2 linked regions of the Mus musculus genome follow. The protein of the gene in region 1 interacts with the protein of each later gene in a pairwise test. Links are inferred from orthologs where the notes say so. Each region holds a gene or a part of one and is shown on either strand. Other genes may lie near its edges.

Region 1 (3,813 bases):
CACCAGCCCAGCCCTGCCCCTCACACTGGCCTTTGTCCCCCGCAGGGTCAGGATAAGCATGAAGATTCATATGCCACTGAGAACTTTGAAGATCTGGAAGCCGAAGTTCAGTTCTCAACACCACAGGCAGCTGGAACCTCCCTGGACTTCTCTGCGGCCTCTTCCCTGGACCAGTCACTGTCTCCATCCCACAGTCAGGGACCGGCCCCTGCCTATGCTTCCAGTGGGCCTTTCAGGGAAGCTGGGCTCCCTGGACAGGCCACCTCTCCTATGGGCAGAGTCAATGGAAGGCTCTTTGTAGATCACAGAGACTTGTTCTTGGCCAACGGCATCCAGCGAAGATCCTTCCACCAGGACCAGTCCTCCGTGGGAGGCCTCACGGCTGAAGACATTGAAAAGGCCCGGCAGGCCAAGGCTCGCCCTGAGAGCAAGCCACACAAGCAGATGGTAGGTCTGAGAGGCGTTCTGGCTGGACTTGGGTGGTTTCTATTCCTAGTGGGGCTGGGGCTGGTCCGCATCTCCCCCCAACCTCCCATGCTGTGACTTTAGAAATACCTGGAAGCCTTTTTGTACAGTGCTGCCAGTGGGAGTGGAGAGGGGAGGCACAGACAGCATGAGCCTCAGGCTGTCTTGTCTCATTTGTTAGTTTTGTCAGTCCTATAGGTCTCTCTTGTTTTTCCCTTCAGCTCAGTGAGCGGGCTCGGGAGCGGAAGGTGCCAGTTACCCGGATTGGGCGGTTGGCCAACTTTGGAGGTGAGGTGGTCACGTACCCCGTGCTGCCCCTCCTCTACTGCCCTGCCCTGCCCTGTTTGTCCTGTTCGAGTGGAGGTGGCCAATGTACATTAAGGTGGAAATGGTTGGGAATCCAGCCGTGCCCCAGTACTGGGTGGTATATGGCCATGTTGCCCATGAAGTAGCTGCTGAGTGTTTTCCTGTGGGTGATGACCTCATTACTGGATTCCAGCCTCATCTTGGCTTATCCCTGGGCCTGGTGTGTGGCTGTATCTTGCCATGGGCTACAGCTTGGGCTAGTTGGCTAGTCCTTGGGGCAGTCTTTGCTGGAAGGAGACCGGTCATGAATACAGGTGCCTCACTGGGCCCTTTGGCTCCCTAGATAGAGGGCCTTTTGGTCTGGGACCAGCCATTTGGGGAACCTGTTTACCAGATCCTATAGTCTGACTGCTAGTGTGGTACTGACAGACTCTGGCCCTTTGCTGCCAACAGTTAAAGCTGATTGCTGCAGGCCTGGGCATTTTATTTGTCCTTGCTTTTATGCAAGTAGCCTTTGACCCTACCATACCTGTGCTCTTCTGGAAGGACATTTACATAGTGCATGTGCACACTGCTCGTCTGCGAGGTCCTGTTGCGAGTGCTTGGCCATTTGCTGCAGGGTGCTGTGATGTGGGTTTCTGGAGGTGCAGTTTATGAAGGTTTATCTGTGCTCTGTAGGTTCTCCAGGTTCAGGCAATGTAAACTACAAAAGAATAGCTTTGCTGGCTTGTTTCACATACTGGCCTTGGACCAGTGGTTAGCTAAATAACAGTTCTGGTAGGTTATGACAGTGATGGTCCTGGTGTTGAGTTGGTTAGGGAGGCCCAGGACCTTCTGTCTTCCCTTTCCTGGAAAGTATATCCTCTTGTTTGTCCATCTCTATCAGTTACTTTCTCTGCTCTCTACCATTGCCAAAACCTGTGGCAGAAGCAACAGGCAGTTTCAGAAGGTTCAGGCTGTGGGTCCTGACAGTTTCTGGGCCTGCAGTGAAGCATCTGTCATGGTGCTTGTGTATGTGGTAGCAGATTCTTCATCGAGTGTGAGAGGAACCTGCTGAGAATGGCTGCTGTTCTGTGCAGTTTCAGAGGAGGAGCTGAGCACAGACCTCTGTCTTGTGCAGGGACATCTGAGCTGCCTGTCCTATGAGTAGGCACCTACCTTCCTACATAGACAGCAGAGGACCTGTTAGGTCTTCCCCGGGGAGAAGACACCTCAGGGAGCTTTGTCTCTTTCTTTTTGTTTCTCTCCCTCTTCCTCCTGGGCTGCAGTGCCTGGGGGATGAGGCTGCTATTGGATGCCAGTATTATCTAGAAGTACACTGTTAGTACCCACGCAGAGGACATTAGCCATGTCTGTCTGTCTGCTCTATGTGGACTTTCTTAGCAGAGTGAGTGAGCCATGTGTATTAATTACAGTGGACTTTAGGGCTGAGGATGTGGTTCAGGGAGTGGAGATCTGGCCTAGCACACACACAAGACCCTGGGTCCCTCCTGAGTACAGGTGGGGCCTGGTCTACAGTGCCTGGTTCCTCAGTACTCTTGTCTGGTTGCTTATGCAGAGGCCCTTTCCAGCCACGTGTTGTAAACAAGCCCTGGGATTTCACCATGCAGAGCAGCACCAGCAGGAGTGGTAGCCTGCTGTTCCACTCTCAATGCTACCCAGCCTGCTCATGAAGGCTCCTGTGGTTAAAATCTTTGCTTTCCACCTGTGGTGACTGGTAGGGAGTGGAGTGACTGTTTCTTTGGTGACTTCCAGAGGGACCTGAATGGGGAGGCTAGGTGAGGCTCCTGAGTTACCCAGAATAGGCTCCCAGCCTGGACACAGGCCCGCTGGACCTCTGCTTTGCCTGCGGGAGAGTTCTGTGCCCTGTCACTTCCCTTCCTTGGTGGCAAAACCACTTTTAATGAGAAGTATTAGGAACTTTCTGTGTATGGGCAGTGTGCCGTCACAGGCCAGGAGGAAGGTCAGGCTGCCAACAGTGGTTCTCTCCTCTCAGTGACATGTGGAGATCAAGCCTTCTAGACACAGAACACACACAGTAGAAGAGGCAGTGCTGTGTGAGGTCCTTGGGTGCAGAAGCAAGGTATCTGAAGATGGCAGAAAAATCCCAGCCTGGAATTCCCCTTCCCAGAGTTAGTTATCCCAGGTTTACCTGGTTCTAGGTGAAGCTGAGCTGGGCAGGGGATTCCAAGAATCTCATTATACCAGGCCCATGAAGGGGAGCCAGTTTATTCTGGGTTCATAGAACCGGGGAGATCATGATCACTGGTAGGGTGAGCTTGTTCTTCCCTCCTGGTCTGCCTGCTGCAGGAGCCTGCCCCTCTCTTGGCAGCTCCTAGGTCTGGTGCAGCTACTGATGGAGCCAGAGGCCTCCTTTCTAGAATGTTCCTTCAGGCATTTGTTTAATAACTGTCTCCCCACCCCCGTGGTAGAGTTTGTGCTTTGCCTGGGAGCCCAGAAGCAGGCAGGGACAGTTTGACCCAGCGCTGTGCGGCCGGGGGTAGGTGTAGGGGGCTCTGACTGCTGTGTGTGCGGCTGGATGTCGTCTGCCTTTTCTGTGGGCGTGTCTCTAAGCTGGAAGGACTCCACAGGGACCTTGGTGACTGAATGCTGCCTGTCCTCCTTTCTTTTGCTAAGTTAGATATTGTGTTAGGTAGGGCGAGGAAGACAGTTGGCGGGAAGTTAATGTTTAATTAGGACTCTGGCTCCCAGTGCCCAGTGCCATCCAGACTGGCCTGGGTAGGCGGAGTGTTAAAGGGCTGGTGCCTGCCCCACCAGACATCCACAGTAGCACCCTATCCCAGGGCACCACCAGCATGTCTTGGTTGTCGCTGTGGCTTCTTCCAGTTTGGCTTGTTCTGCCCCATGTGTCCAATGCATGTGCCTTCCCACAGGATTTGAAGACAGTGCACACACCCGAGATGGAAAGTGCTTTCAATTTTTACATTGATTTTTATTTTAACTATGCTGGGCTAAATGCATTAGAATTCACTCTCCATGTTTCTTCTCGCCTGTTTTTTAATGGCCTCCAGAAATCTTAAA
Region 2 (3,213 bases), on another chromosome or scaffold:
GATGTGGGGTGGGAGTGGGGGGAGGGAGATCCCCAAAAAGCTTAGTTCCTTACTCACAGAGCTAACCCTTGAGTGTCTGCCAAGGCCCTCCTCTCTTCCCTGATCCCTAATCTCTTAGCACTAGGTCTTCCTAATAACCTCTAGGACCCAGCTCAGCTCACCCTTGCCCTTCTAAAGCCATCCCACTCCTTCCCAGGGGTCTGGATCCTGGAGAGGGACTGAGTAGGGTCAGCGAGTCATGTGCCCCCCCTGGGACTTCAGCCAGGCCCAGCTCCTGGACAGTATCCTAGGGCTGGGGGCACTAGGAGTGACAATTCGAACCATCTTCTCAACGGCTGGCCTAGCCCTGCTGCTCCTGTTGCTGACCAGCTTCCTTGTTTTTGACCTGCTCTATGGGTAAGTGCCACCTGTCAGATAGGTGTCACAAACACAAATGAGCAATTGCCTCGAGCTGCCATCTTCTCTCTCCACAGGCCCACAGGTGCCAACCTGCCACGACACAGACTTCTCCCAATGGGTCAGAGCCAGGGGGCTGGTGAAGGCCCAGGACAGCAAGCAGCTCCCCTCTCTCCAACAAAGATGGCCTCGGGACTGCTCAGCCTGCAGGATGCGCTGCTCCTGCTGTTCCTGGGCCTGCGCCTGTTCTTGGGAGGCTCTGGTATACCCTTAGCCATGCTGGGCCTAGCTTTCTGTATCCATCCTTGGGCCTGAGGGCCCTCCTAAAGCTGAATGCCTTCTGAAAATACAACATCCAATCTGCTCTCTCAGATTTCTTCTCTTCCATCCTGAGCTACATGAGGGTAAGGTTGTGTGATAAGGACAGAATACTCCATCATATTCAGCTTGAACCTCAGGGCCTTCTAGTTCCACAATGTGGACATTTGAGAACTGTCAAAGGCATATTACCTTTGCCTGAAGCTTAGGGCATTAAGAGAAGGCAGAGAAAAGGGTAGTTACAGCAACCAACTCCAGCCATGGGGTTGGAAGCAGCCATCAAGGAGGGACAGGTGTGGGGAAGGCTTCCTACAAGAAGAAGAATGGTAGGCTTGCTGGGCTCTCCTGCTAGCCTGGAGGGACCATTAAGTAAAGGACATAAGTGACTCTCACACTATGCAGTAGCTCCTCTCTTGGCTGAGCCCCACCCCAGTCCGGGTCATAATGCACTCCTCTGGGGATGGTGGGGCAGGCGAGGGAGAGACTGGGATCTGGCTGCCAGGCCAGCCTAGACACAACAGGAAGCACCATGACTTAGGTGGCTCTGCCCAAAGGTAAGTCCTAGGCCCCAGTTCAAAGTCCAATCCTGCCCATGCTGGTATCCCCCTGACCCCTGCATGCCCACCTATCCAGAGGTCCTGGGCATCTTAAGGGCTGCCCCCTGCAGCTGGCCTGGCCCTGTCCACAGGTGCACCAGCCGTGATGCAGCAGCCACGAGTGGAGTCGGATATCATCGGGGCTGGCGAGGGGCCCCAGCGGGCAGTGCCCTGGTCAGCCTGGATCATCCGTCAGGACTGGGTGCGCTGGTGGGTATGCCACATACCTCGGAGCTGGACCCAGTGGTGGAATACATCAGGCTGGCGGCAACCACTACAGCGGATGCTGTGGGGTCTGGAGGGGACACTCTACCTGCTGCTGGCACTGATGCTATGTCACGCACTCTTCACCACGGGCTCCTACCTGCTGAGCTCGCTATGGCCCGTGGTGGCTGTGATGTGGAGCCACCTGCTGCCAGCAATCCTGCTGCTTGTGCTCAGTGCCCTGCCTGCTCTGCTCTTCGCAGCCTCCTTCCTGCTGCTCTTTTCCACACTGCTGAGCCTCGTGGGCCTGCTCACCTCCATGACTCAACCAGGCTACGCTCAGGACTTGGACCAATAGAAGGGCAACCCCATCTTACTGCTTGTGTCTGTTGAGCCCTGGCCTAGGGCCTGAGCCCCGTGGGGAGGGGGGCAGTGGAACTTCAACAGACCTCAGACCCCCCCCCCCCCAATCACAAATACAAGTGGGGGTCTGGCTTCTGGGCATCTACCTTAAACCCACATTGGTGTCAGGAACAGGACAGACAGTTTAGCCAGGAGCAAGAGCTTGGACCAACCACTGAGAGCACCCGTATGGATGTGGTAACATCACTTGGTCTTCCTGGCAGAATCTTTTAGTCACATCACCTCAGCCCTACCAGCTTCAGGCTTCCTGAGAATTTCCACCTACATACCCCTGGACTTGTCTGGATTTGTCCCGGATCCTCTCTTTCTACTTCCAGGAGGAACACACACTCTGGAATGGGTCTCACTGCCAGGACGATAGCTAGGGATCTCACCTCACTCACCTCTCAGAAATGGGAAAGAGGCCAATCATGATAGTGTGTGTGTGTGTGTGTGTGTGTGTGTGTGTGTGTGGACCCAAGGCTTTGTGCATAAGCATACACTCCACCCTACACACTCTTATTTTTTTTTTAAGAATCTCCAGGTCTGTTACAAAAAAAATCAAAGTCCTGTTTCAGCCTCCTACATCTTGGCTGATTCACTACTTTTGAACCTTGGTGTTAAGTGAGCCCCAATGCTTTCATGGGTTTGTTATGATCAAAAGTCAGTATCTATTTGCAAAATACTTTGCTGCTGTTGTTGTTTTGAAACAGGGTCTCATGAAGCCCAGGATGGCTTTGAACTATTTAGCTGAGGTGACTTTGAATTTCGGATCCTATTGTCTCTATGTCCAGGGTACTGGAATTAAAACTTGTGCCACCATGCCTGATTTTATGAAAAGTATTTGGTAAGGCCAAACAGCAGTTAAGATGTTTTGAGCTCTAAAAACATATAAGTTCAAAAGGCCTTTTGATTCAGAAGCTAAGAGATTAAATTTCTCTAGGCTTCTACAGAAACTCTGTCACTCATGGAATCCCAGCCCTAAAACAGTTGACACGGAATAGGCAGTGTGGTGAGATGTGCAAGGTGTGTGTCTCAAGCTAGGCAGACACTGGACTGTATGATCTGTGTAATGCTCGAGGCTGGAGCCTGGTGCCAGGGAACTTGTGCAATGCTGTGCTCATGGAAAAAGGAAAGCGCAGAGATTTGCAGGATTGATTAAGCAGGCTGCTTCCACCAGAGGGCTTTGGACCACCCAGGCTCCCCTGGCGTTTGGCCATTTACCTAGCGCTGAGCCTTCCAAACAAAGCTGTGAGTATCAGTTACCAAGTCAAGTGACAGACATGTTAGCCGATCT

Evidence for each region.
Region 2: the proteins of Coq8a (region 1) and Tmem239 interact in binary tests that used the Homo sapiens proteins (3 or more experiments, as listed by UniProt). The two-hybrid records come from large-scale screens. The link is inferred for Mus musculus from reciprocal best matches to the Homo sapiens genes COQ8A and TMEM239.

What each region holds. Positions count from the first base shown.
Region 1 is NC_000067.6:180,175,517-180,179,329, reverse strand, and holds part of Coq8a (atypical kinase COQ8A, mitochondrial), read left to right. Parts: intron 1-45; coding exon 46-447; intron 448-686; coding exon 687-753; intron 754-3,813. UniProt on the Homo sapiens protein: Atypical kinase involved in the biosynthesis of coenzyme Q, also named ubiquinone, an essential lipid-soluble electron transporter for aerobic cellular respiration.
Region 2 is NC_000068.7:130,405,308-130,408,520, forward strand, and holds Tmem239 (transmembrane protein 239), read left to right. Parts: upstream 1-1,214; 5' UTR 1,215-1,268; intron 1,269-1,402; 5' UTR 1,403-1,416; coding exon 1,417-1,872; 3' UTR 1,873-2,487; downstream 2,488-3,213. Other genes in the region: 1700020A23Rik (uncharacterized protein C20orf141 homolog), read left to right, coding at 239-396, 474-711.